7 linked regions of the Oryctolagus cuniculus genome follow. The protein of the gene in region 5 interacts with the protein of the main gene of each other region in a pairwise test. Links are inferred from orthologs where the notes say so. Each region holds a gene or a part of one and is shown on either strand. Other genes may lie near its edges.

Region 1 (2,772 bases), on a different chromosome or scaffold from region 5:
CACCTACACAGCCCCAAAGAAATCAGCTTGCTTGACAAAAATAGGAAAGCAACACATAAGGAACTAAATAAAAATCATGGAGAAAAAAAAAGAATGTCTTTGAGAGAATAAGTGACTGCACTGCACGTGAAATGTGCCCTTCAGCTGGGTGACACAGAGGCGTGTCCACGCCGGGGGCAGGAGGCAGATGCACAGTCCACACGGCAGAACTGGCAGAAGGGATCCCAGACGGGCTCCCAGAGCACCTCTGAAGCCCACAGAGCAGACACCTACATGAGGGACGCTATTGTGCGTGGTGGGGCTTCGTCGCCCCTGAAGGTCCTCATGAGGACTGGGCAGGTGGGGTGCACATACGTACACCCACACACAAGCCCACTCTGATGAACTCCTTCCCCCAGACAAGCCTCCCTCAGGTCTGTGGGCAACACCAGTAAGCTATAGTGACAGTGCTACACACAGACTCAGGAGGGAGGGATGGGACAGGCCGGTCCCAATGCCAAGGGCTTGTTAAAATGGACCCTTCTAAGAGGACTGGCTTTTTTCTTTTTTTAACCTGCCACATTTAGTAATGGATCTGGGAACCTTCCTTTTGCAGCTGGAACACACCACCTTCGTTTTCATCTAGTCAGTAGGTCAGCAGGAAGAAAGGCTAGAGGTAAGAGCGAAGCAAGCCAGAAGGAAGCCAGAATCAAGGCAAAGCAGCAAGAAAGCGAAGACACAGCAAAACCCTCAAAGGAGTTATCTCAGGATTACAGCAACGAGGCCAAGATAACTCAAGTAGCAGGAGGTTAATACTTCAGCGTGCAGAAAACCCATTTATCACATCATCTAAGCACTCGAGCAAAGGCCAGCCTACAAAAGCACTTTGAATTTTTAATAAGAAATGGTATAATATAAAATTTGTACAATTTAAAACCAAAACGAAGCAATGTCTGTTGCAGGTGTACAGTTTCAGGTGCAGTGCAAGGAAAAAAGCTTCTATGCCTACATCTAGGCCACTCCTCAGGGGACAGGTCCAGTCAGAGTGTGCAGGGCTGACACCGAATCCTCTACTGCTCCCCAAGAGTGGGTGCGGCTCTGGGCAGTGCCTGCCCTAGTGCCCTGCAACAGGAGCCAACTGAAGGCAGGAGCAGTGAGCCGGCAGGGACAGTGTTACTCCTCCCTCACTGTGACTGCCCTGAGGGCCTTCCAGAGCAAAGGCAGACGCCACGCAGCCCAGTGCCGGCCAAGCCTGTTCTCATGTCTGAAGGTGCCCGACACCCACCAAGAAATACGACTCCAGAGAAAGCCTAATAACTAGTCTACTGGAGGTAATCACCAGTTGCAGGAAAAAATAATTAGCCATTATTTCCAACACTCATGAAGACTACACAAACCTTCTCCATGCCATTTGGGGGAAATGACTACTGTAATGTACAAATTATCTATGCACTCATTTACCATTAGGGAGTAAAAATGGGGCACGCCTTAGGCATCTGGCTGAAACAGCTACACCTGGAGAAAATGAACTGTATACTTACCCCAGCTGAGGAACCCCAATGGTTAGAACTAAGTTCTAGTTTACGGGCATTTTGGAATGTGCTTTTAACAGTGTCCTTAGTGAAATGCATACATTTTGGGGTAGAATGCTCTTAGGGGACAGAGATAAACCAGAACACTCCATTAAAGGATGTACAGTTAGACCCTTTTCAGAATAGACTGTGTGTCACATCACTCTCTCTACAAATGGGTCATAATTATCAAGGACAACAGAACATAGAAGCCCCTTTGAGAAACTGTGAAAATGTTCAGAATTGAGCCAACACTGCTTTCACACAAAAACAAGAAAGAATTGTTGGGACTGGCACTGTGGCACAGCAGGTAAAGCTGCCACCTGCAACATGGGCATCCCATATGGGCACTGGTTCAAATCTCAGCTGCTCCACTTTCAATTAGTTACCTGCTAATGGCCTGGGAAAGCAGCAAAGGATGGCCCAAGTGCTTGCGTCCAGAAGCAGCTCTGGGTCTCTCTGTGGGAGACCCAGAAGAAGCTCCTGGCTCCCACTTTGGCCTTGCCCGGCCCAGCCCAGTCTAGCCATCTGGGTAATGAACCGGCGAGTGCAAGATCCTTCTCTCTGTAGCTCTTTCAATGCAGTAAATAAAAGAAAGAATTGCCTCGGCAACTCAGAGCAGAGACCATGGCAAAGGACCCTGGGTACCTCTGCTGTGTTCCGGTAACCACCAAGTTAGACCACTAAGTCAGCATCCACATACCCTAACTAGCCCCTGCATTAAGGCATGCCTGTACAAGAGCATAATCACACAGTGCCTGGGAATAAAGAACACTGAGGTGGAACCACGTGCACTGACACAGGAAACAGAGGCAGCCTAAGTCACCACAGCCACGCTGCAGCGCCGACAGGTAAAGTGTGATCCCCAGAGTGTGCTGGCGACAAGCTGACAGCAGATGCAGCAAAGTAGGATTCTGCATGCCTAGGAATAACCGTATGGAACGTGAAAATAATATAAAAGCAGTTATTTTTTATTTCATATACTTCCATGCCAATGGAAATTTTTTGCATTAAGAAAATATCACTGTTTTAATCTTAAGACTTTAAATTTCAAAGCCCAAAAAGCGTCTTCACTGTATGCAGAAGCTGTACCTCCTACACTCTGTGTGATCCAGGGTCTAGACAGCTCAGGGCTTTGTGTTCCAAGACGCTCACGCAAGCTCGTTGTTGCGTTTGCTGCACCTCCATAGTTACGAGATCACCCCTAAAGACGACTGGCTAA
Region 2 (4,263 bases), on a different chromosome or scaffold from region 5:
CCAGGAGCCAAGGGAGCCGGGCTGGTGCCTCGCTCCCCGGCCCCACCCCCCAGCACTCCACCATGCTGATCCCAGCTGCTGCCTGAGCCTCCGGGCGCGCTGCCAGCAAGGGGAGGCGGCTCTGAGTGCCCCAGGAGGCCGGGATCAGGGCACGACCAGAGGAAGGGGCTCTCCACTGGGGAAGGGGCTCAGTCTGTTTTTGCGAAGCTGAGGGTCTGGGGTGAGCCTGAGGTTGGCTGGGCTATGTTTCCCTTTCCAGGGAAAAAGAAAGAAAAACAACCCATCGAGCTAAAAATAGAGCTGAGCGCCGGCCAGGGCTGTGGCCTGGAAGGGGGGGATGCTCCTTCCTGGGGCAGAGCCCAGCTCTGGCTGGCCTTGGCCCTGCGGGGGAGGGCTGCCGTCTGGGCGAGGGAGGCCGTCCTCGCCAAGGCCAGCGGGCATCAGCTGACCTGGCCAGGTCACAGAGACCCCTAAGGAAAGGTCTGTGTGATAGAGTGCATGCAAAACACGGTGTGCAGTATGAGAAGCTGTTTGTGAGTACTGCGAGGCTGTCAGCATGTGAAAGATGCTGGGAGGTGCGAGGGCCTGCGAGTTGTTGTGAAAGACTTAATGCACAACCGGTGTGACGCGGGGCTGCGCGGGAGCTGGCCTGGGAGTGCATGGAAGGAGGCCTGGGGGACCACGTGACGGATGAAGCTCTGCGATTGCGGCTGCCCGAGACTGAATGTGGGAAAGGTCGTGTGGGTGTTAAGATGTTGTTTCCAAGAGGGTGAGCATATGCGTGACCCTGAGGAGACCGTGGAATGTTGTCTGGTGGGAAGCTGGTGTAGGCTTGGGCTGTGCCTTTCCACTGGGGAGGCCAGAAGCCGCCCTTCCCCGGGCAATGACCCTTCTCTTAGCCAGCGACTCCAAGGGAAAGTTGGGGAGTCCAGAGCCGCGCCAAGGGCAGGCCTGGGCTGGCGTCCACGGGCACGGGCTGTGGAGTGGGAGAAGACCCCCCTGGGTCGGGGGGCGAGTAGATGTGCTCTGAGAACCGACCGCCAGGTGGCGCCGCCTCCGCAGATCCTCGTGTACCGCCTCCAGCCCGCTGTGGGGTGGGCCAGGCAGGGACCTGGCCGCGGCCCCCGACTAGTGCTGGGGCGCAGGGCCCCGGCAGCCGAGGAGCGGCGGGCAGCTGACCCTCGGCTTCCCGCTCTGGACTCTGAAGCTGGAGAGTGTCTGGGGCGGGCTTCGATTAGAGAAGCGAGGGGGAGGGGCCGCCGCGCCGCGCCTTGGCCCTTTGTGCTCGAACAATGACCAGCTGCCGCTGGCCCCGGGGCCCGGCTCTGGTAGGGGGTGACCCGCCCGCCGAATCCACAGCCGACCGAGCCGTCCGACACGCAGTCACCGAGACTCGGCGGGAGGGGTCCCGCTCGCCGCCGCGCAGCCCCTGCGTGCGCCCCAGCAGACACGCGTGACGTGGGGTGCCTGCGCGTGTCCGCGCCCCGGGGCGGGGACGCCCCTCGGACCCCTCCCCCGCGCCGCCCCGCGCCGCGCCGCCCACTCGGGCCGGGAGGGGACTGGCCCGGGCCGGGTGCGCCGCCGAGGCGGAGGCGGGGCCCGGCCGGGTCGGGCCGCTCCGAGTGGCCGCGCGCGGGCCGGAGCCGGGCGGCGCGCCTGTGGAGCGCTTGGGGCGGCCCGGGGCTGAGCATGGAGCAGCGCGGCGGAGGTGAGGGGGAGGCCGGGGCCGGGAGGAGACCCGGGGTCGCCCCCAACTTCTGTGCGGCGGCGTCGGGAGGGGAGGCGGCGTTCGGCGGCCGCCGTGCTGGTGGGGGGGGGGGGTCGTCGGCTGAGTGGGGGTGGGCGGGGGGAGGGGTCCCGGCTTCCTGCCTCGGAATGGGAACTCGGATCCCAGACTTGAGCCTGCGTGACTGTTCTTGGAGTTGAGGTGGGAGGGCGACTTTCCCGAACTCCTCAGCCCCCAAAACAGGTCTGCGCGAGCTCGGAGCGCGGCCAGAGCCGTCGCTGGCCCTGGCTGAGCCCCAGCCCTCAGCCCTCCGTCCTGCCCACCGCGGCGATTACTCGGGAGAGCGAGGGGTTCCCTTTGCCCACAGCCACGGCGCATTTCTCAAAATGGAGCCTCGGCTTGCCCCTCCTTCTCAGTCGGGCTCTGAGAGCGGGAGTCCTACTGGCTGGGCCTGGCTGGCCGGCTTTCGTCGCTCTGGGTCTGGGGGGCCTTGGCCTCTTGCGGTTCCGGGGCCTGGCGCCATGGGCCGGCCTGCCTGGCTTCCTTGGCCGCCTGACCCCCGCGCCTCCCTGAGCCTTTGTCTCGGCCTTTGGCTCTTTCTCCGAGTGGGCCCATCGCCTTCCTTCAGTTTTCACTTTTCTCTGTGCTCCCTGAAGAGGAGAAATGCGGACAGAAATGCCAGCCCGCATGGCCCCCTTAGCAGCCCCTTCCCCCGTCCTGTCCGTGCCTTACGTGGCCCTGCAGAGGGAGGAGGAGGCTCCCGGGTGCCCGCGTTGCCCAGGGCTGGAGCTTGGGGTGCTGTCAGGCCCCAGCCCTGCAGCCAGGCCCACCATTGCTCCCAGCAGCTCCTCCGGCAGTCTGGACTGACACCGACCTGGTTCTTGGTGTCTTTTCACTTGGGTAGAGAGGAAAGGGATGAACTCGATGGAACACAAGCAAGAAAGAAGGGGAACAGCTCGGACAAAGGTGGTTCCCCCTCTCCCCACACTCCAGAGTGAAAACTGGCGGGTTCCCTCGCACTCCCCGGTGCCCGACATGCCTGCCCTCAGAGCCTTCTCTGTGGGTAACCCGGCTCTGGCCGGCCTGCTGTGCACACACAGGAGTTCGCGGGGGGGAACCCATGTCCTGGGTTCCTCTTCAGCATCTCAGCACACTCACCTGTTACCTGTGCATTTACTACTCCTGCGTACTTGCATGGTGACCCTTAATTACACACGCATACGTGTGAGGTTCACACGTTAGTTCACACCTAGACGGGTGTATGTATTGAACATGTCCAAACACACACTCATGTTTTCACACGCATTATTCCTGGCACGCAGTGCTCACTCTGCTGCCCCTGGGCATAAAGGCGGCCATGAAGACCTGTACACGCACACATTCCTACTCCCAGGAAGTTTTCTGTCCGCCTCCTTGGCCTGCACGTTCTGCATGATGATTTCGGCAGATGCCAGAGCCCTGGTGCTCTGCGGCCTCGGGACCGGAGGGAGTTCCCCAGGGAGGCTTGCTCTCCCCTTCCAGGAAGGAGCAGAGCCCGGGGAGGTGGTGAGGTCTTGGAGCAGCTGCCAGAAGTGATGGTGGGGCTTCCGCCTCCATCGGGGTTTCTCTGGAGATGGCGGAAGCTGGAAGCTTCTGATAGAGGTTGGAGTCGGGCAGCGCCCATGAAGGCTCCTTTAGGCCCCATGTCACACCCTGACTGGGTATGGAGAGGGTAGGGGTTGTCATAGAAACAAGCAAGTGCCTGCATCACCTCCAGGAGGCAGGTGTGTGTGCCCTGAGAGCTGTGGACTGCCTGTTTGGCCAGCTCCACCCTTGCCGCCTCTCTGTCTGGGAGAAACTGAGGCCCAATAGGGGGAGGTGGGGCGCTGCTTGGCCTTGGCTCTTTGTTCCCTAATTATTGTCTGAGTTGCTGGTGGTGTCCTTGAGGTTGTCGCTGCCCAAACTGCCCTGTAACGAGGCCACCTGTCCCAGGAGACTGGGGACCTGGGCCAGGTGCTGGGAGAGAGGGCTTCTTGCCTAACCTGAGTCCTGGTCTCCGTGGGGCTGCAGGTCTGGGTCTGGGCCTCCACTGCCAGGTGGCCCTGTGCAGGCTTCCGATCCCTTCATCTCTGCCTGGTGGCCCTGTGCAGACCAGGGAGCAGTGGTCTGGGGCCCAGAGAGAAATGAGATTCGTGCCAGTACTTGGAAGAGGAGCCTTGGGGGGGGGGGGGGGTCAGGGCGTTGTTACTCATGTCAGGAAGGCGTTTGGCCTGGATCAGGGGACAGCACAGGGACTCAAGGCCTTGTATAGGGAGAGGGTATAGGATGCTGGGATTCTTTTTGTTTTGTTTTGTTTTGACAGGCAGAGTGGACAGTGAGAGAGAGACAGAGAGAAAGGTCTTCCCTTGCCGTTGGTTTACCCTCCAATGGCCACCACGGCCGGCGCACTGCGCCTATCCGAAGGCAGGAGCCAGGTGCTTCTCCTGGTCTCCCATGGGGTGCAGGGCCCAAGCACTTGGGCCATCCTCCACTGCACTCCCAGGCCACAGCAGAGAGCT
Region 3 (4,291 bases), on a different chromosome or scaffold from region 5:
CCCAGAGAGGAGTCAGAGCCATAGCTCCGTCACCCAGCCTCTGCAGAGAGGAGTTGAGGCGTGATAGTCTCAGGACGTGGAGGACTGTGAGACAGAGTGTCCTCCCCTCTCCCAGTGCCTTTGAAGCCAGAGCACCTGTGCTCAGGTTGTCCTCCAGCCCCTTGGAGCTTCCCACATTTAAACTTTCTTTTTTCTAATTTGAGAGAGACAGATAAGAGTTCCCATCCACTAGTTCGTGTCCCCCGATGCCCACAGTAGCTAGGACTGAGGGCTGAATCTGGGAGCCGGGAACTCAGTCCAGGTCTCCCATTTGAGTGGCAGGAACCCAATCACTTGAGCCATCACCGTGGCCTCCCAGGGTCTGCATCAGGAGCTGGAGGCGGGTGTGGAACCCGGGCACTCGTGTTGGACCCCACAGTTAACGGAAAGGTGGATGCAAGCAGCTGCCCTTGGGGCTGCAGGGCTGCTCTTCTCTGTGTCTGGCTGGGACTGATCGGTTTCACGAGAGGTCATGAGGTCATAGGGAGAAGCCCTGGCTCCCCTTAATCTCCTCCAAAAGGAAGTAGCAAGAGGAGTCCCCAGCTGGGGGTTGGAACCTCTCTAATGCTTTCCCATCAGGGCCCTGATGGACCGTTTCCATTCCAGCCTGCTACCTTTTCCCTGTCGAATGCAATAAAACTCTGTGACACCAGCAACCATTGTCCTTTAGAAGTGGTGTTCTGGCCATGTGGCTGATGTATCATGGGCAGTATGGTCTTCATTTGTTGCTTCTGTTTTTCCTCTTTTTTGTTTTATTAATAAAAAGGTCTTGTGTATTTACTCCCATTACTACTACAATACAGAAAATAAATTATTCAATTCCTTTACATTATTGCCTTTTCTAAAAAAAAAAAAAACTTTGAGAAAGCCTGTACTTAGGGGTACTTCTGGCCTTCGAGGTGTGTTGGGCCCCCACTAGGCACTGGTTTTTAGGCAGAAGGCTGTGAATTCAACAGCTAGTGATGGGTGTGCACGGGAGTGGGAAACTAAATCACCTCTGGGAATGGGGCGTGGGGGGGTGACCCTCCCTCTCTGAGGCCTTCCTAGCACCAGTCTCTGGAAAGGTGAGTAGGCCTGTCCAGCAGCGAGCAGCTAAAGGCAGAGGAACCCAGTGTTCCCCCAGGGTGCACCCCCTGAAGGGCAGGCAGAGTAGCACGGGGGCCTGGGAAAGTGAAGGGTGGGGGAGTAGGGGCTGTTGCCAGTCTGGGAGAGTGAGTGTAGCTTGGCCCACGGCCTTGCTGGTGGAAAAACCTGGCTTGATGTGGCCCCTGGGAAGTGAGCTGGGTGGGGGCGGAGACTGCCTGACGTGGGAAGCAGAACAGAGCTGGCTTTTTTTTTTTCCTTTCTGAGTTTTTAACTCTATTAGAACCATACACTTGACACCAGCACCACCCCCAGTGATTTGAAAAACAAAACAGTGTATTCACTTGCTCATTCTGCACCAGCCTCGCTACCCCAGTCTTGGAAGGGGAAGGATCAGGCAGTCCCCTTGTGTGAGCGCAGGTGGTGGGGGTCCCAGGTGATCTGGGAAGAGGCCAGGGGCGAGGGAGGGCCCCGGAGCCGCTGGTAAGGAGACGCTTCTGTTTTAGAATCAGTGCGTTGCTTTTCACTGTGCCCCTTCCCATCCCGCCTCGTTCCTCCCAAGTCCCTTCCCGCACAAGGATTCGCAAACCCTGCCCCTCCAGCCCCCGCCCCCCGAAGCTGCCACGCAGCTGGCTGGGAAAGGAGAGGAGGGGCGCGAGGAGGGTGGCGTCTCCGAGGGATTTAACCTCCTACCCTCACTTACATGACGCCACCCCTCCCTCCCAAGCCTGGGACTGCGCCTCCATTTTTGTTTTGGGGCGGAAGGGCAGGGGCTCCCGCATAGCAGGGGTCAAGGGAAGCGGTAATCATCACCTGTGAGGGGAGAGGGGGTGCTGTCCTCCCTCTTCCTCAGTCTCTCACTGCACCCCTGCAGCCCCCCCAACCCTCTCAGGGTCTCCCCCCCCTTGTTGCTAAGGCCCGGACCGTCATCCCAGCAACAGCCTCAGTCATGTGACCGGCAATGGCGGCGCTGACGAGAGGTAGGTGAGCCCGGCGCCCCCCACACCCACTGCGCGCCCCCCGGCCCCCGCTCGCGGCCCCCTCACGCCCCCCCACCTCCTCTGGCATCCCCTACCCCCACGCACCGCGCCGGGGCCCCCCTCGGTGCCCGGCCCTTCATCTCTCTGATCCTCCGGCCCCGGCCTCCAGGCCTCCGTCTGGGGGTTCTGAGGGCCGCGATCAGGCCACCGTACACCACCCAGCTGGTGGTGAGGCTGTGGGGGCTTGGGCGAGTAGGGGAAGTGGGGAGTTGGGTCCAGGTCGGGACCTGGAGGGGGTCGTGGGGGGAGGGGTGGAGCTGCCACAGTGGATGCCCCGAGGGACCCTTGCCCTTCCGGGCTGTCCCTGCCTCCACCCTCTATCTGGAGGCCAGAACTGGGCCCGAGTCCGGCCAGGGCTGCCCCAGAGGAATCACAGACCCAGCCTAAGCGGTGGCCCCGCCTCCCTCTTCTGTGCCAGCAGGACTTGGAGCTAGGACACTTAGGTCCTAGGGGTCTCCCCCCCCCCCCCCCACGTCGGGAAGGGGATGCTCCATCAGGGGCAAGCACTGGGGGCTCTAAGATCCAGTGTCACTTTCTGAATCCGAGGTCCATCTGGCCTTGAGCAGACTACGATGGAGGCACAAAGGGACAGCTGCTCCTTTTTGGATCAGATAAGAAATTGAGGTCACATGGCCCCTCTTTCTAGTTGACAAGCTGCATTTGGAGGTGTTGTGAGGACAGCCCAGTGACTGAATCTGACAGGGCTCAGGGACACCTCTGACCCCTCCAGCTGTGCCCCTGAGCCCTGCCCCTCCCTAAATGCAGACCGGGGAGCTGGCAAGCAGCCCCGCGGGCATGCTGGGTCTCAAAGGTGACGGTGAGAACTTTGTTACTGCAGGGCCGCTGCCACTTTCTGCACCCCTAACTTCAGCTCACCGGCTTCAGGGCAGAGTTCTTTGAGAAAGTGGGAGCAGGACAAGGAGTTGGGGAGCACAGGGCAATTTCTTGTCTATGTGATCTGAGGGAGGTGATAAGAAAGCTCCACTGATGTGGGCTTCTGCTGTGTTGACTTATCTTACTTGGACCCTGGGCTTTTTGGGGAGCCCCAGAGCTGGAGCCGGGAAGAGGAAGGTTAACAGGTCACAGTGCCTCTTGCAACCTCGGGGGAGGCTGGGAATGGCATTCTGCAGGGGAGGAGAGTACCTGGGAGAAGTTTTGTTTCTGGGCTGCCAGGGAGAGAGAGAACATTTGCCATGGTAACTGTTAACCCTCCCCCAGCCCTGGTCAGCTGAGTGTGGATATAGAGGGGCTTCTGCTGCCGTCATCTTCCATGGGCTTTCCAGGTACTTGCCCCTTGTGGGAACCTCAGCTTCCACCCAGACATGGATCTCCTCCCTCCCGTGTCCCAAGTAACCCTATTCGGTAATCTACACTCAGAGACACACTCCTGCCTCTGTTTCAGGCTGCTGGGTTGGGACCTGTGGGAATTGGCAGAAGGGGTTTCTTACTTTTTCTCCTCTTCCTCCCCACCCTACCAGGTGATACAACCCACAAGTAGGGAGCAGGAAAGAGAGAGTGAGCCTGCATGCCAATTCTAAGCTCTTCAGGATCAAAGTGAGCAAAGGAGAGGGGGGCATCAAAACTCCCCAGAGGGCAGAGGGACACATTGTTTCTGTGTAGCGGGAGAATGGAAAGAAACAGCCAGACTGATGTTTCCATCATAACAAAGTTATGGAAACTCTTGCCTTCAGTGGGTGCTGGGGTTCAATGGAAGGTAGAGCTGGGGGAGGGGCTGGGGGCTCAGCTTTGAGAGCATAGGGGTCATGTGGGCTTTGGCAGGAGCCTGATGTAGGAGGCACTGGCACCTGTCCATGGGGACCCCCCACCCTGAGTCCCTTTCACCCTGGGGGCAGTGTCGTTCGTCCTGTCCAGAATGGCAGCCTGTGGAGGCACCTGCAAGAACAAAGTGACTGTCTCCAAGCCTGTGTGGGACTTCCTGAGCAAGGAGACCCCAGCCCGGCTGGCCCGGCTTCGGGAGGAGCACCGCGTGTCCATCCTCATAGATGGCGAGACTTCTGACATCTACGTTCTCCAGCTCTCCCCGCAGGGCCCGCCCCCCGCCCCTCCCAATGGGCTCTACCTGGCCCGCAAGGCTCTCAAGGGGCTGCTGAAGGAGGCAGAGAAAGAGC
Region 4 (4,115 bases), on a different chromosome or scaffold from region 5:
AAGAGGACGGGGCTCTCTGGAAGGCTGAGGAGGGCGCACAGCCCCTCTTCCCGTGCCAGCTAGGCACCACGAGGCTGGGAGAATGCGGCTGTCTTCATCCCTGGAACGAAATTCGGGGTGGGAGTGTCGCGGGCGCGGAGACCCCTAGAGGGGCCGGGTCTCCAGGCAGGAAGGGTGGGCTTCCCCGAGTCTCCGAGGCTCCAGCCTTAGGCCCTCTGATGTACTTCCGCCGAAAACTCGCGCTGGGCAGCCTATGTTTTACGCGTTTCCACGCACGCCTTGTATTTATGGGAGTCCGGAGAAGGCGCCCACGAGAAGCAGCCCAGCGCCCCGGCGGGCCGGGGAGCCCCGGGGGCTGCGCGCCCGCCGCCGTCCTGCGCGCACGAGGGCTGGGATTGGCTAAGGCGCCCGCGCCTGCAGCCGGCGAGGCGGAGCTGGGCCGACACCCCCCGGGCGTCCGGGGAGGCCCCACTGCCGAGGGGGACGCGGGGTCCCAACTGGGCCGAAAGGGAAATTCAGAGTCCCCGCGGCGGGCAGGGGCGCGCGGGGGAGGACCGCGCCCCGCCACCACCGCGCGCTGCCCCGGCCGCCGCCCGCGCCGTGACTCGCGCGTTCTGGGCCGAGTACGGGCTGTCCCTGGCCCAGCCTCAGCCAGACGCGGGGGAGAGAGAGCAGGGACTGGGAAGTGCCGGCCAGAGAGGAGTTGGCCAGAGATGAGGAGGAGGAGGACGGATGGAGTCATCCGGTGACGGAGCGCGCCCAGTCCGGCGGCGGAGAGAAGCCGGGGGACCGCGAGCGCGCGAGGGGGAGACGGCCACGCGTTCCTGGCCCGCGGAGGGTCTTCCCCGGCCTGGTTCCGAGCAGGGGGCGGGTAGCACGCGGGTGTTGGGCCGGGAACCACCCCTCTCCCCGGGGGAGGCCGCGCGGAAACCGGCCCGCCCGGACCACCTGCTGCCGCGGCCCCGCTGGCCGCAGTATTTATGCCCGGGGCGCGAGCCCGCACGCGGGCCGCGGGGAGGGTGCCGCGAAGCCCCGCCCCACTCCGCTCGGCCCCGCCCCCGGCGCGGCCCGCTCACTTGGGGCGCCGGGGGCCCCCACTCCGGCCGGGGTCGGCTGCCCGCCGCCGGGTGGGGGCAACTTGGCTGCAGGGCGGGCCTCCCTGCGGAAAGCGACGTCACGGCCGCTCCTGCAGTGTGAATGAATCAAAATGCCCGGGTGACCGCGGCCTCCCGGCGGCCGGCACGCGAAGGGTGGAGGGGGAGGGGGCGCGGGCGGGCGGGGGGAGGAGGAGGAGGAGGAGGAGGAGGGGAGAAAAGCCAGAGCCGCAGCAACAGCGTCTCCTCTACCCGGGATGTGCACCAACCCCGGAGAGCGAGATCAAAGGCGTCCGAACCAGACCGAGCACGGCCGGGGGGAGGGGCCGGCCAGCCTGTGGAGTCCTCCCCGAGAGGCCGAGGGCCCGGCGGCCACCGTGACTTCCGCGGCCTGCTCGGGCTTTTTATTATTTTCCAATCTCTGAGTCCAGCCAAGAGCGAGCGAGCGAGCGAGATCTCCGTGGACTGCGCCTGGCTGGCTCTCGCTCCGAGATGATGCAGAGCGCGGCTGTCCCCGCGGAGGGGGCCGTCAAGGGGCTCCCGGAGATGCTCGCTGTGCCGATGCAACGTAAGACACCCCCTTCCGCGCCCGCCGGACTCGGTCCTTGGACCGCGGGCAGCCTCTGCGGGGCGGGCGGGCTGGGGCGCAGAGGCGGCCGCAGGGCAGGGGCCGCGGCCAGGGTGCGTTCCAAGGGCCTGGCTCTTGGCTCCTTGGGGTCGAATGTGGAAGCCACCTGGGTAGCGCTCGTGGCGGGTCGAGGATGCGCGAGCACCGCACCTCCAATACCTGGTTTCTCTGGGAACGCGGGAGGAGAGTGCTGTTTGGGGACCTCAGCGGGGTGAGCTGCAGGCCACAGGCGTCAGGGCGAGCAAGGGTGGTCTTCCCGGGGGGGCCATGTTCTGGGCTCACAGGACCACTGTGTGCAACTTCACCCCAGCCGGCGGGAAGTTGAAGAGCCAGTCCCACGCCCCTCGGGGCCGGCGGCGCGGAAGCCCGGGCCGCACGCTCCGTCCCCGCGGCCAGCGCGCCGGGCGTGCGCGCCTGGTGCGTCCCCAGCCGCTGCTGCCTGCGGCGCCCGCCGCTTGAACCTTCGGGAACCGACTGCTCCTGGGGAGGGAACCTGCTCATCACATTCCAGCTGCGAGGGGAATGCGGAGGGGGGAGAAGCGCGGGCCGAAGTTGTGGACTCGGGGGTCAACCCCGGCGCAGACCGCTCAGCACGGCTCGAGTTTGGAGGGGAGAGACTGGGGTGTGTGTGAGCGTCTCGACAGCCTGGCCGCTTCTCTCCCGCGCTCGAAATTAACCAGGCGGTGCGCGCTCCGGGCGGGTGTGTCCCCAGGTCTCTATGCATGGAGGGGTGTGCGCGCGCGCAGATATTTTCCCGGAGGGAATCTGTCTCCGTCCCTCACTACTGGAGACTCCGCGAGGGAGAATCCGTGCCGGGCCGGAACAGGTCCCAGAGCTTGGCGCGCGCGCGCGCCTGGCGTGCACAGCCAGAGTCCTGCCGCGTGCCTTGCGCGTCTGGCAGGGCGCTCCTGGGCACCGCGGACACCGACTGTTCTCTGGTTCCTGGGCACCGCGGAGAGACCGGTTGGCTGGCTCAGGGGGCTGTACTCCTGCAACTCCTTTGGTGGGGCAGTACGTCCTTGGGGTGTAAGTAAGAGCGGGCTCACGAAGGAATGGTGACCACCTACGAACCAGGGCGCACGAGCGCGCCCTCCTGCGCCCTGGCTCTCCACGGCAGGGTTTCTGTCTCGACGACGCCTCGAAGGACGGGCTGGCGAACGCGTGCCCTGGGAAGTTTTTGAGAAGGTACTACAAAGAGGAACTTTATTTATCTTATTTAGATCGACCACATCCTACAGTTATTATTTGTCTTTCTGTGCCAACCAGTGTAGGACTGCGGCGCGCTTTGGAGAGGCCGTGCGTGGCTAAGGCTTCGTGTCTAGCGGTCGTGGCCCGCAGGTGGCCTGCCTCTTGGAGCTGCAGAGAAGGTCCCTGGGCTCCGCTCTGCGGGTCTGGGATGCCCGACGCTCTGATGGTCGCACTTCAGTGTCTCTTACTCGGAGACAGCTTTGGTGTTCGAGGGCAGAAACGCACTTGTCGAAAATGCCCAGAACTCGCCTGCAGGGCTGTCGCTCGCCGGGGCTCTGGGCCTGGGTGGAAACTGTGTCAAACTTAATGAGGGAGAAAAAGGCATCACCCCAGGGTAGCCTAGGGAGGCAGTGCAGAACCAAGAGGGGCGGCCAGTCTAGCCTGGGTTCTTTCGGCTGTGGGAGGAGACACAGCCCCCCCCCCCCGTTTCAGGGACTTTTTACCACCCGCCCCCCCCACTCCGAACTTTGGGATGTGATTGTCGCTTTTAGCTTAACGGCCAGCGGCTAAGCTCCTAGGGCCAGGAACCCGGGGATAAATGGGCTGGGCCCTTTCCCTACAGATACACAAACACTCTTGCTCCTGGGACAGGGCCCTGGGGTCTGGGGGTACAGGGAGGAAGAGGGGTAACGGGATGTGGAGTGGGAATAACAGATGGGCCCTCTTCTGGGAGTCCGTCCAGCCCCTTAGCTGGAGGGCCTGGGGCGCCCACTGCCCAGCACACACAGGTTCCCCATCTTCGTCTCCCTGAGCCGGCAAATGGAGCTCCTGGGGCAGAAGTCTTGGGATTCCCCTGGACCTCTGGCGCCCTCGCCTTCAGGGGCGTTCTAGAAGTTCAAACCCAGCTTGTTCCCGCAGCAGGGGCTATTCCTTTGCTGTCTTACTTCAGGAGAATGTTGCCAAATAACGTAATTTATGTCCCTTGGGCCCACACCCCTGCGCTCTTCCTTCCGACTTCATCCCGCCTCTGCTGCTGCTGGACCCCTGGGTAGCAGGGTCGCACCACGCAGAAGTCATGCGGCCCCGGAGTGGTCCTCAAAGCGCCAACAGTCTCCGGGCCGCCCATCCGGCCCCTGCCCGGCTCGGCTCGGACAAGCTCTGGCAAGCGGCAGGAGGCTGGGGGTGACCCCAGGAGCAACCTGGCT
Region 5 (3,500 bases):
GACTTGGAATTGCTTAAGCACTTGTTTCTCCCAAATGAAAAGCAAGTGCTCTCAGGCCAGGGCTGAGGCGCCTGCATCACTTGCCTCCCAGAACACCTGGAAGGCGCGAGGAGGACTTCACGCTTCCTGAGCGCCTACTACGTGCCAGGCAGTCTCACGCACAGCCAGCACCTTCCCGTCCCTTGCAGTCACTGCGGAAGCGGGAGCTGTAAGTGCTCCCATCACAGATTCAGAAGTTCAGGGACCCGAGCTCGCCCTGCCAGTCAGCTGAGCCTTGCACACGAGTGAGTGAGATGGCAAGGTCCCCAAGGGAGATTCTGAAAAGAAACCGGACCAGGTGTTCAGACAGAAGTGGTCTAGGCCCCACGGGCAGGATTTGTTCAGGGCTCAGCAAGTGCAGGAAGCTCCAGGAAGTGAGGGCGGGAGGGACAAGGGGAAATAAAGCCTTATCCCACAGGCCCCTGAGCTCAGGATGAGACGCCAGTTCCCCTGCAGGTACTCCCAGCTGCCTGTGTGTGCTGTGGGTGCTTCTGGATGGGAGAGGCCACGTTAGGGTGCAGAGTTTGCCCCAGTCTCTGCCACTGTCCTCTCTCACAGCTCCCCGACCCTGGTGCTGGAACTGGGGCCGTGCAGCAAATTCCAGGGAGGGTTGGGATGCGCCTGTTGGGGAAGGGGCCTGACACCCCCTGCCCTGTAGAGAGAGGTCCTCTGAGGATTTGGTGCGAAGGGCAGTGCCCAAGCCCCATCCCAACATGGCCCTGGGCCAGCCCACAAGCCCAGCAGGTGATTTTGATGCAGGCAGGCTGCAGACCCAGCTTTGGGTCTCTGAGCAAAGGGAGGGAGCCCCACGGAGCTTCCCGGACCCCAGCTCCTCCCGCAAGAGCCATTCTGAACAACATCTCCCAAGCACGGCACACAGCCCTGTGAGAAAACGTGCTCCTTCCCAGACCAGCCCAGGTGGGTCACGTCTGTTCTCCAGCTCCTTTCTATGCTGGCTCTCAGTGCAGCCAGCCCTGCCCCATCGGGGTCTCACTGCTCTGGGGTGCACCAGCTTCGTGTCTCATGGCACTTCACAGATGGCCTAGCCAGGCCAAGACTCACTAAGTAGTTATCAAAGGTGTCTTCTCCAGCCCTTTAATTAAGACAAGAGTCACGGCCAGTAACCCAACGCCCGACCCTAGTCCTGGACCCTTGCTGTATTTGCCCGGCTAAGTCCTCCAGGCAGTATTTCTTGGGGGTGGCATAGCTGTTCTTTCCAACAAGCCTCATATCCCTGGACTAGGGAAGGGGCAATGGAGGAGACATAACACCCAATCCTCCTGCACCCGTGCTTGCTGTCTGTCCTTCCATTCGTCCATCCACACGTCCACCTGTCCACCCACCCATCCGCCCATGCAGTCAGAGGCCAGCTAAGCCCCTTGCGGTGCCAGGCACATGGCGAGGAATTTCCACATAGGATTTCTCTCCCACCCTCTGAGAGCATGCTCCCAACGGGCACACCACAAACACAGAGGGTGGAATGTGGTCAGTGACTCAAGAGAGGGGTCAGATGTCCGAGAGGCCAGGCCAGCCTTTGGTCCCTACCCAGCAGAGCCACTGCCCTCTCTCCAGCCGAGGGGTTGGGTTGTCTCAGGCCCCAGACAAAACGTTCTCTGCTATTTTCTCTGAACTGCTGTCCAGACACCCTGGTCCTGAACCCACCAACGTGGGTGGGCGGAGACTCCCGCTTCCCCTGATATCTTATACTCAGATGCAGGGCCTGAGCAGGGGGAGGGAGGCAACCAGGACGGGGAAGCTCCTCTTGCCACAAGGAGCACTGGTGGTCTTGGGACCCCAGCATTCAGCCCAGGATGGGGCAGCGTCTGCAGGAAACAGGAATTGGGTGGAAAAGGAGAGGGTGAGAACGGCAGCGTGTGTGTGTGTGTGTGTGTGTGTGTGTGAGAGAGAGAGAGAGAGAGAGGGGAGAGAGAGAGAGATGGGGGCAGCTGACAGTTCCATGAGCACTGCTGACCGCCCGCGAACGCTGGGAAAGGCCCTCCCCTTGGCGCTGAGCACGGATGCAGTACGCGTGCCAGTATGACTTCTCTGCCTTCGCCTCCACCAGGCCCCACTGCCATCACACCAGTCAGGATGGCAGTCCTGCCCCCAACCCAGCTCTTCTCCACCACTGGCTGGCTGTCTCCCAACCTGTCCCTGGGTCCCCAGGGTGCACTTACCATGGTGTCTCGCCCTGGGGAGCTGGAGCGGCTGGACCCCGGGGCCTGGCCCTTGCTCTTTTCCCACAGTGTGTAGCGGCCACTGGGTCGGTAGGTGGGACTGAGGACTTCGGGGACGCCTCGTGAGGGAGGGGCCTGGGTGAGCACCTGGGGTGCGCTGCCCTTGCGACCGTAGTTCTCCAGATAGTCCACCAGGTACTCGGGGCGGCTGGCTGCCTGGTAGAGCCCCTGCAGGGCACAGAGCTCCTTGCGCGTGCGGGCCAGCATGGGGCTGCGGCCCAGGTTCCCAGGGTCGATCCGGTAGCTGTCTGAGGTCCGGAGGCTGGAGAAATCCCGGGCCAGGTCTGATTGGCTGTTCGACTTCTTCTGGGCCAGGGTCAGCCCCTGGTCACAGGCATTCATGGGCAGGTAGCTGAGGGAGCTGCTGGTTACTCCATACGAGCATCCACTGCCGCCGCTGAGCCCACTGCCTAAAGGCCGCTCGGTGCCCCGGGTCTGGCTCTCTGCCCGCTTACTACCCCGAATGATGTCGGGTCTCAGCAGGGGGCGGCCCCTGTCAAAATCCAGGATGGAGGAGGGGCCGTAGATCCCAGGACGGGTGAGGAAGCTGGTGGAGGGGCTCGGCTTGAAGCCGAGCTTTTCCTTCTCCAGGAAGGAGGTGGCCAGGTTGGCCCCATAGGAGGATGGGGTGTAGGTGCCATAGCCCGGTTTGCCGTAAGGGGCATCTGTGTAGCGGGTCGATTCTGTGTAGCGCTTCAGGGTGGAGGAGAGCTGGGACATCCTTCAGGGCGGCGCTCAGTGGGGACTGGGAGCCTCATGGGCTGAAAGACAAGGGAAGCAGGGGTCAGCTCCCCATGGCACCTGCTGGGCCCGCAGCCTTAGAGCTCAACACAAGAGGCTTCCCAGCTGCCCCCCGGGGAATGGGCGCGCACCTGCCATGCGCCTGTGCCGTCCCAAGAGACCAGCTGGCTCTTACACGCCTCCCGGGGAAGCGGGTTTAGTGCATATTGGCTATTCCGCGTGCCCCCCTCGAAGACCCGGACAGGCACGCAGGGACTGCCCACCTCCACAGTCCTCTGAGCTACGTGTGGCTTCCAGACCAGACCCCATCCCTGACCCCCTGGACATGTCGCCAGCTGAGATGGCACCCTCTTTTCTGACTCAGGTGGCAAGCAGGCACCCTTTTGGTGTCAGACTGTCCGCGGCAAGGACCGGAGAGCAGGACTGGCAGGCAGGGGAGGCCGAGGGGGCTGGAACCCGGCCTCCACACCCCAGTCCAGAGCC
Region 6 (4,017 bases), on a different chromosome or scaffold from region 5:
TGTGGAAAGGCGTATCCACGTGCTGTAAGGCGTGCACATTGTTTCAGGTATCCGGGTGCTTTCCATAAGAAACCCATAGATTTCTGACTGCCTTTCTAATCTACCTAACATAGCGACCCGACGGAGGAATCACGCGGCTGCTTTGGCTGCAAGCTCCAGGAGTTCTCTCCGGAGACCACACCCGACGCCTGAGGCTGGCCGCCGCAGCTTCCCTATGAAAATCAGCCACCTGCATGGCCTTTCGAAATCATCAGGTTGGGTGTTACACAGGTGTACAAAGCGGGCAAGGGGGCTTTTAATAGGAGGGAGTCGGTAGTGTCAAGTCCACGAAGCAGGGATTTAGCTCGGGGAAGTTCCAGCCAGGCAGCCTGAAGTCAGTTGCCCGCCGTAGAGCGAGCCGCCGCCTAGCAAGCGGGTCTTCTCCTTGGTAGCGTCACTCTTCCTCTGCTTCCCTCCGTCTACCCGCGTCGTCAACACACCGAAAGCCTCCAAGGCTTTCTTCCCCACAAAGAAGAAAATTTAGGAAGCCAGAGGCAGTGCCCTACAGCTTTAGAAATGATAAAAGGTAACACCTGCAATGCACGCCGCAATCGCGCACGTGTGTAGGTAGGGGGGCAGAACCCTGTGGGCTGAGAAGCAGCCCACCAACTCCGGGGGTCAGGGGGCCCAGGAGAAAGGTAGATTAATTAAAGAAAGTGCCAGAAAAACTGCAAAGAAACGCGAAACTTTCCTCGCTAAATGCCGCATACGTGCAACCACAGCCTATTCTCCTCTCAAACCACTAGCGACACTGCACCGTCGCCATAAACACTAAGTGGGGAAGAGGGGTGATCAAAGAGGTCCCTGGTGGGAAGCGGTGGGCTGCGGGCCAGGGTCTCCGAGAGGTACCGGGTTATGGAAAACTAAGTTGTCAGTGGGCGGCGAGAACCAATGGCTGGGGATACTTGAGCATCTGAGTGATACGTGGGTCCCGGGGTAAGCAGGCTGCGGCTGGCTGGGTGGGAAAGGACAGGACACAGGTGCGGGGATATAGGGTCTCAGAGAACAGAAAGGGCCTCAGAGAAAAGTGCAAAGGAGAAGAGCCGCAGCTCAGCGGCCCCGCGCCGCCGCCCCCGCCCTCCGTTTTGCGCAGAATCCTCCCCTTGGCTGCAGCAGCGCGCTGCCCCCACTGGCCGGCGCGCCGGGATCGATCGCAGGCTGCGTCAGAAGCCTCGCGGCGTATAAATAGGGGTGGCAGGACGGCGCCGAGCCGCACACAGCCATCCATCCTCTCCTTTCCCTCTCTCCCCCGTCCTTCTTTCTCTCTCCAGGCCCCATCTCCGGCCGCGGGCCAGAGGGGCACCGGCCGCCACCATGAGTTCGTTCAGCTACGAGCCGTACTACTCGACCTCCTACAAGCGGCGCTACGTGGAGACGCCCCGGGTGCACATCTCCAGCGTGCGCAGCGGCTACAGCACCGCGCGCTCCGCTTACTCCAGCTACTCGGCACCGGTCTCCTCCTCGCTGTCCGTGCGCCGCAGCTACTCCTCCAGCTCCGGCTCCTTGATGCCCAGCCTGGAAAACCTCGACCTGAGCCAGGTAGCCGCCATCAGCAACGACCTCAAGTCGATCCGCACGCAGGAGAAGGCGCAGCTGCAGGACCTGAACGACCGCTTCGCTAGCTTCATCGAGCGCGTGCACGAGCTGGAGCAGCAGAACAAGGTCCTGGAAGCCGAGCTGCTGGTGCTGCGCCAGAAGCACTCGGAGCCGTCCCGCTTCCGGGCGCTGTACGAGCAGGAGATCCGCGACCTGCGCCTGGCTGCCGAAGACGCCACCAACGAGAAGCAGGCGCTCCAGGGCGAGCGCGAAGGGCTGGAGGAGACCCTTCGCAACCTGCAGGCGCGCTATGAGGAAGAGGTGCTGAGCCGGGAGGACGCCGAAGGCAGGCTGATGGAGGCGCGCAAAGGCGCTGACGAGGCGGCACTCGCTCGCGCTGAGCTGGAGAAGCGCATCGACAGCCTGATGGACGAAATCGCCTTTCTGAAGAAAGTGCACGAAGAGGAGATCGCCGAGCTGCAGGCGCAGATCCAGTACGCTCAGATCTCCGTGGAGATGGACGTGTCCTCCAAGCCCGACCTCTCCGCCGCCCTCAAGGACATCCGTGCACAGTACGAGAAGCTGGCCGCCAAGAACATGCAGAACGCCGAAGAGTGGTTCAAGAGCCGCTTCACCGTGCTGACCGAGAGCGCCGCCAAGAACACCGACGCCGTGCGCGCAGCCAAGGACGAGGTGTCCGAGAGCCGCCGCCTGCTCAAGGCCAAGACCCTGGAGATCGAAGCATGCCGGGGCATGAACGAAGCGCTGGAGAAGCAGCTGCAGGAGCTGGAAGACAAGCAGAACGCCGACATCAGTGCTATGCAGGTGCGGCCTGGTGCGAAACACGGCGGGGGCGGGGACCTGCAGAATGCGGGGGTCGGGGCAGGGGGAGAGTTGAAGCTGCGCCCAAAAAGTGGAGACCAGGGCTGGTAGGGGTCGCACTGTGCTCCCAGGGGACGGTGTGGGAGGGGCGGGGCCCTTGGGTGGGGCGGGGCCGCTACTGCAGTCTGGGTGTGTGAGTGGTGCAGTGGAGTCTGAGTTCCGCATTGAAGCTGCCCAGCGTGGGAGGGGTCAGGCGGGGGCGGGGGAGAGGTGGGAGTAGGGCGTTGCCCTGGCCTGCAGGGATGTCGGGCCATCTACCTACCTGCATTCACCTGAAGTTACTTTGCAACACCAGTGGGATCACCTGGTTAATAACCATAGCGAGTAAGTCTTAATTAGTCCCGAAAGGTTACTGTGGCCAGTATATTTTATGACTGGTTAAGTACCAGCTACTCCTCCCCTTAGCAGGTGGACAGGAACCCAGACAGATTTGTCTTGGGTAACTAGCTGGGGAGCAGAAATATAGGAAATATTTTAGAGAAAGTATAAGCAATTTAGCTACTTCCTTCTCTTATGAAGAAATGGATGAATTTTCTGGATTGTGACCTGGCTAAAGTGGAGTTAACCCATAAATGAGAATCCAGCCTTTTCTGTCAAGTTAGTTTCCATGCAGGCATATTCTGATGCTCCTTAGATTGTACTAGTTGAGGATATTGTCTTAAAGGAATGTTCTTTCTTTAGTTTTTTTTTTTTCTTCTCATGCTTCATGAAGCTGGATATTTTAGGCGAGAAATATTTTCAAAAAAGAGTGAGCAGCTGTTTTAGGGGAGATTTTTATTAAAGGTGTGCCCCTCGACTCTAACTGAAACTGAGTGTTTGTAACTGAGCTACAGTAAAATGATAGCAGTAGGAATTGATGCTTAGATTTTCTTCTTTTTCTGTCTTCCAACAGGACACGATCAACAAACTAGAAAATGAATTGAGAACCACAAAGAGTGAAATGGCACGATACCTAAAAGAATACCAAGACCTCCTCAATGTGAAGATGGCTTTGGATATTGAGATTGCAGCTTACAGGTAACAACAGAAGGGCAAAGGTAGTAGCCAGAAAGCCTTGGAAGAAAATCAGATGCCATTTAGATCATGTTGAACCAGAAGCCTTCTGCAATAGCCCTCTGAAATGAGATATTATTATGATTAGTTTGCTTCTTCGAAGGAGCAAGTGTTTAGACAAATATCAAAGAACTTTACCCTGTAATATTAAGTCCTGTTTTTAGCTTCTCATTACACTTAAAATCTAATAGAACTATTTAACGTACTTTATTCTGTATCCCCCCACCCCCAGTCTCATTCATAAAATTCCTAGCCATTGGATATTGGTAATTCCCAGCCCTCTCTTGTTTGCATTTGCCTGTAGGATGGCATTGGGAGAACAGATGAGAGGTGGGCTTAGAGCAAGTCATTAAATACACTTCCTAGGTTGTTTTAATTTTAACCCTACCCTCTGTTGGTCTCCCCAGAAAACTCTTGGAAGGTGAGGAGACCCGACTGAGTTTCACCAGTGTGGGCAGCATAACAAGTGGCTACTCCCAGAGCTCCCAGGTCTTCGGCCGGTCTGCC
Region 7 (4,220 bases), on a different chromosome or scaffold from region 5:
AGGCCCCCCGGCCCGCGGCAGGCGCTCACCCTGCAGCTCCAGGGAGTCGTCCTCATGCTGCCCGACCAGCTCCCGCGTCTCCTCCAGCTCGGCCACCAGCTGCAGCACCTGGGCTCTCAGCTCGTCCAGCTCAGTCTCGGTGAGGCTCAGGCCCCGGTGCTTGCTCAGGGACAAGGAGCCTCCGCTGCCAGCCTTCTGCATGTGCTCAGCTTCTTCTTCTTCCACCTCCTCCTCCTCCTCCTCTTCCTCCTCATAGAGAGCTGGCAGTAACACCTCTCCTGGGAGAGACGCCCAGCCCAGAAGAGAGTCAGTGCCAGCCTCCTGTGCGTGGCCCTTCCAGAGGGCAGAGCGGCGTAACAGTGCCGCCCGGTGTGCCCAGGAGTCCCCTGGATGCCTGATGAGCCCTAGGTGTTAGGGGCAGGTCAGGAGGCCACCTCGCCCTCCCCTCCCCCAGATCCTCCTGGCCCAACGGCACGCTTGGTGGCCTCTGCCTCCAACCTGTGGGCAAACAGTCTCCTGGCTCAGCCCGGGGAACCACACATGCACACCCAAGTCTTTTCTAGTGTGTTCTCTGGGGAGAGGGCTGAATGGTCAGGAGATTCGGACACCAGGCATGCCTTTAGGCCAATCAGGGCCAGAGTTACAGTTTGAGGATTTGTAGAAAGTTTTTTTTTTTTAAATTATTCAGGTGGCTTAGTGTAAAATTAGCCTTTCCATAATAAGCAAACATTGCCCGTCAGTAGGTAGAGAAAGAAAACATGTGAATGAAATGATTCTAAATTCACTGGACAAACGCGGGGGCCCTTTCAAACGCATTCTGTCAAACAGCTGTTTGGAATTTTCTGCAAGCTCCCCTTGCTTGGCCCTGCTGGGGCTGGCTGTCACGGGGCCTCCCCTCCCCACCTGAGCAGGGTGAGGCCCCTCCTCCCTTGGCCCTCCTGGCTGTCACAGGGCCTCCCCTCCCCACCTGAGCAGGGTGAGGCCCCTCTTCCCTTGATAACCCCTCTTGCCCCTGGAGTTTTCAGGGCAAGTCTTAGCTTGCACCTGTGTGTAAAAGTGAGCCTGCCACTGTAATGTGTTTCAAAGGAAAAAAATAATAATAATAATAATAGCAACAGGGGGGGGTTAGGTGCTGGTCCCCAGCCCCTGGTTGGCGAGCAGCCCCTCTTTCACTGCAATGCAGTTCCTGGAAATAGCAAAATCTTGTCTGAACGGTGATTGTCTGCTTTGTCTTCAAATGCAGAGGCTCTGCTCTTACTTCCTCTTAGCAGCAGCCTAAGGCTCAGCTGGGACCCCTGTGTCACCTGCCCCTCTTAAGGGGACCAGGGTGGCCCACACCGAATAGGCGGAGGGGCCTGGGGACTCCTCCCAGGGAGTCCCGGCACCTGGACCAGCCGTGTTCTTCCAGGGGCCCGGCGTTGGCTGCGGTGCCCAGTCACACGGGTGGGGTGGGCACCCACGTGCGTCGGAGGGGACGGCCTCACCTGCCCTTCCTGGCCTGGCTCTTCCAGGCGACCAGAGCCCGGAGGACCGCAGCTGCGAGACTTTGCTTTGAAGTGCATGGCGGTGCCCATGCCCTTGCCTTTTTTAAAAACCAGAGACAGCTTGGGATCTGGGTCGCAGGCGGGGAGAACGAACCCCCCACTGAAAGACTGCTTCAAAGCTCTGTCCACAGAGGCCTGGTTCTCTGTCTGGCAGCTCCCCAGGGGCACGCAACCTGGTTAGCTGTGCCATCGGGGCCCCAAAGGGATGCACCTTGAACTTTCCTCAGAGCGCCCTGGGGAGGACTGGAGTTCCCACCCAAAGGAGGAGGGGCCTGAGGGAAACAGAGGTCAGGGCTGTGGCACGGGCTCGGAGCTCTGGGGTCACAGGGAGGGAGGAGAAGGGACCGGAAAGAAAGATGCCCTTTTGGGAAACTCACCCTCCATAGCTTGCATCCCTCGCCGCTCCAGGGACCCCCAGCGCTGGCCCTTCTTCCTCTCACAGCCCTCGGACACCTCATAGGAGCCTAAAGTGGTTACTGTGGGTCCTGTGAGCAGGGAGACAGGAAGCCATGTGGGGGGCAGGGGAAGAGAGGGGACGGACGTGCCTTCCAGGCCGGTGGGGCCCTGGGATCTGCAATCCCAGCGGAGGCGCCTGCCAGCTCAGCTCTGCGACTCCCCTCCCTCAGCCTCCCCCGCGGGGACCCCAGCCCAGCTGGGGTCCTGGTCTAGGCAGAAGGAGGGCGGGCGTATGTTCAGAAGAGGGGACCGAGAGGAGAGGGGCTGGGACGCAAGGAAGAGCAGCAGCCAGGAAGGGGGAGCGGCCGTGCGACTGCAAAGCGGCGACAGAGGCGCACGAAGGGGTCTGGGCGGGGACGCCCCCTACCCGCCCCGCCCCGCCCCTCCCGTCACACCTCGCCGGGCGCCCAGGAGCCTTTAGGACTGGAGGGGCTGCAGCGGCTGGAGCCCCCGCGAGCTGGAGGGGCAAGAGGGGAGGGCCCCCGGGGAGGATGTGGCCGCTGTACCGGAAAGATGGAGACCGGGCCCGGGACGCGCGGGGACGGAGGGAGGAAGGCTGAGGGCGGAGGGGTGGGCAGCGGAGGAGCAGGGATGCCCGGGGTCTGCAGGCAGGCGCGCAGGAGCGGAGGCAGGAGGGGCGGTGAGGGGAGGGAGGACGGCTCTGACCTGGGCCCGGGCAGCTCCAGCCCGCGGCTCCCGCGCCGGCCCCGGCGCCCGCCTCCATGGCCGCTCCCGCCGCTGCCGCCGCCTCCCCGAGCCGAAGCCGCAGCCGCCGGGCCGGGACCCGAATGGGCGCGCGGGGAGGAGAGAGGGCGGACCGAGGGGCGGGGCCTGGCCAGGCCTCCCGCTGCTGCCGCCGCCGCCGCCTCCCGGAAGCCCTCCCTGCGCGCTCTCTGCGAAGGTGAGCGCGCCTCGGCACGCCTCGGGTCTTGCCCTCCGACACGAGCTGCCCCGACAAGGAGCGGCCACATCCATCTGCTGTGGTGGCAGGGACGCCTCTGCGGCCGGTGTCGGGGCCCGGTCCTGCCCAATGACTGCGGAGGAAGGGCAAGGTGCCCATCCCCGCAGCGCGGTGACCCCCTCCAAGCGCCTTCGTGGGGGAAGCCAGGCCGGGACATGAGCACTGCGGGGCCTGAGCCCTCCGTGTTCCCTGGACGCCCACCCAGCCACAGCCCCGGGCCCGAAGACCCCTTCACCGTCCCGCTCTGTCTCCCTCCGGCCCACACCCAGTGGCTGCAAACCACGCCCCCGCCGAAGTCTGCCATGGTCACTCCAGTGGAAGGGAGCAGTGGGGTCCCAAAGGGCTTCTTATTCAACCGTCCACGCATTCAGGGAGTGGCTGCGGGCGCTGGATTGCCGAGGCAGTTGTCACCTCTCAGAAACGTGGGAGATCCCTAAACCCGAGGCGCACAGACCCCTTCTCTTGCATATCCGCCGCCAGGTTGGGGGGGGCACCTAGAAGGGCTGTCTGCCTTCATTCACCCCTGCGCCTCCTCCTCCCGGATTCCCAGGCCCTACACGTGGAAGGCCTCATCTGCTCCCCAGGGGATGCCCTCTCTGGGCTCTGCGCCTCCCAGCATGGTGGTGGGGGGCGAGGATCCTGTGTGCCCAGCTTCTTGAAGGTTGGGAAGTATCTTAGACCTTGTGTCTCCAGCATCGGTCAGAGTACCTGAGGCACAGAAGGCGCGTGTACAAGTCAAGCACAGGTAATGCTGTCTTAGCAGTGAGCAGAGGGCGACATCCTGTGCAGTCCACGGTGCCCATTAGCAAGAACGTTGCCTGCAAGTCCCTTACTCCCCAGCCCCTCTCCTGTCCCCTTGGCTCGGTCCCCCCCCCCCCCCCCGCAGCCTGAGGCGCTGAGAAATGGTGAACACAGGTCGGGGGTGTTTCCTGCACTTGCTCCAGACCTTGCGGCCAGAAGAGCCCAGTGAGCGGGAAATAGCAGCTCTGCTGAAGCCGGGGGTGTGGGGAGTCGTCGGGACGCTTGGAAGGGGCTGGCACGGGGGGCTTGGGGAGCGTGGAGCTCTGGGGACCCACATCCAAGAGGCTGTTCTTTCCGCCCCAGCACAGCCAGCCTCTCTGGTTCTGTCTCCACCAGTAGGGTCAGGCTCTCGCCACGGCCTTGACGGCTGACCACTTGGTGGACAAAGGGAGAGACAGAGGAGGAAGCTGTCATTCTCCCTGGCAGCTCTGATCCTCAGAGCTAGAACGAGTCTCTCC

What was found.
Region 1: the proteins of USP2 (region 5) and NDEL1 interact in binary tests that used the Homo sapiens proteins (3 or more experiments, as listed by UniProt). The two-hybrid records come from large-scale screens. The link is inferred for Oryctolagus cuniculus from reciprocal best matches to the Homo sapiens genes USP2 and NDEL1.
Region 2: the proteins of USP2 (region 5) and LZTS2 interact in binary tests that used the Homo sapiens proteins (3 or more experiments, as listed by UniProt). The two-hybrid records come from large-scale screens. The link is inferred for Oryctolagus cuniculus from reciprocal best matches to the Homo sapiens genes USP2 and LZTS2.
Region 3: the proteins of USP2 (region 5) and DTX3 interact in binary tests that used the Homo sapiens proteins (3 or more experiments, as listed by UniProt). The link is inferred for Oryctolagus cuniculus from reciprocal best matches to the Homo sapiens genes USP2 and DTX3.
Region 4: the proteins of USP2 (region 5) and LHX4 interact in binary tests that used the Homo sapiens proteins (3 or more experiments, as listed by UniProt). The two-hybrid records come from large-scale screens. The link is inferred for Oryctolagus cuniculus from reciprocal best matches to the Homo sapiens genes USP2 and LHX4.
Region 6: the proteins of USP2 (region 5) and NEFL interact in binary tests that used the Homo sapiens proteins (3 or more experiments, as listed by UniProt). The two-hybrid records come from large-scale screens. The link is inferred for Oryctolagus cuniculus from reciprocal best matches to the Homo sapiens genes USP2 and NEFL.
Region 7: the proteins of USP2 (region 5) and CCDC136 interact in binary tests that used the Homo sapiens proteins (3 or more experiments, as listed by UniProt). The two-hybrid records come from large-scale screens. The link is inferred for Oryctolagus cuniculus from reciprocal best matches to the Homo sapiens genes USP2 and CCDC136.

Annotation. Positions count from the first base shown.
Region 1 is NC_091448.1:52,910,712-52,913,483, reverse strand, and holds the end of NDEL1 (nuclear distribution protein nudE-like 1), read right to left. Parts: intron 2,473-2,772; coding exon 2,373-2,472; 3' UTR 501-2,372; downstream 1-500. UniProt on the Homo sapiens protein: Required for organization of the cellular microtubule array and microtubule anchoring at the centrosome. May regulate microtubule organization at least in part by targeting the microtubule severing protein KATNA1 to the centrosome.
Region 2 is NC_091446.1:28,872,964-28,877,226, reverse strand, and holds the start of LZTS2 (leucine zipper putative tumor suppressor 2), read left to right. Parts: upstream 1-1,463; 5' UTR 1,464-1,708; intron 1,709-1,846; exon of another isoform or gene 1,847-2,571; 5' UTR 2,572-2,641; coding exon 2,642-2,692; intron 2,693-4,263. UniProt on the Homo sapiens protein: Negative regulator of katanin-mediated microtubule severing and release from the centrosome. Required for central spindle formation and the completion of cytokinesis.
Region 3 is NC_091442.1:60,208,415-60,212,705, forward strand, and holds the start of DTX3 (probable E3 ubiquitin-protein ligase DTX3), read left to right. Parts: upstream 1-1,491; 5' UTR 1,492-1,605; intron 1,606-1,654; exon of another isoform or gene 1,655-2,038; 5' UTR 2,039-2,102; intron 2,103-3,380; exon of another isoform or gene 3,381-3,524; intron 3,525-3,640; 5' UTR 3,641-3,687; coding exon 3,688-3,716; intron 3,717-3,809; exon of another isoform or gene 3,810-4,015; coding exon of another isoform or gene 4,016-4,034; coding exon 4,035-4,291. UniProt on the Homo sapiens protein: Regulator of Notch signaling, a signaling pathway involved in cell-cell communications that regulates a broad spectrum of cell-fate determinations.
Region 4 is NC_091438.1:8,347,032-8,351,146, forward strand, and holds the start of LHX4 (LIM/homeobox protein Lhx4), read left to right. Parts: upstream 1-1,315; 5' UTR 1,316-1,586; coding exon 1,587-1,662; intron 1,663-4,115. UniProt on the Homo sapiens protein: May play a critical role in the development of respiratory control mechanisms and in the normal growth and maturation of the lung. Binds preferentially to methylated DNA.
Region 5 is NC_091432.1:110,949,461-110,952,960, reverse strand, and holds part of USP2 (ubiquitin carboxyl-terminal hydrolase 2), read right to left. Parts: exon of another isoform or gene 3,038-3,500; 5' UTR 2,997-3,037; coding exon 2,217-2,996; exon of another isoform or gene 1-2,216. UniProt on the Homo sapiens protein: Hydrolase that deubiquitinates polyubiquitinated target proteins such as MDM2, MDM4 and CCND1. Isoform 1 and isoform 4 possess both ubiquitin-specific peptidase and isopeptidase activities.
Region 6 is NC_091433.1:49,228,294-49,232,310, forward strand, and holds the start of NEFL (neurofilament light polypeptide), read left to right. Parts: upstream 1-1,217; 5' UTR 1,218-1,353; coding exon 1,354-2,400; intron 2,401-3,349; coding exon 3,350-3,474; intron 3,475-3,917; coding exon 3,918-4,017. UniProt on the Homo sapiens protein: Neurofilaments usually contain three intermediate filament proteins: NEFL, NEFM, and NEFH which are involved in the maintenance of neuronal caliber.
Region 7 is NC_091434.1:164,988,472-164,992,691, reverse strand, and holds the start of CCDC136 (coiled-coil domain-containing protein 136), read right to left. Parts: upstream 2,801-4,220; 5' UTR 2,725-2,800; coding exon 2,667-2,724; intron 2,030-2,666; coding exon 1,922-2,029; intron 279-1,921; coding exon 30-278; intron 1-29. UniProt on the Homo sapiens protein: May play a role in acrosome formation in spermatogenesis and in fertilization.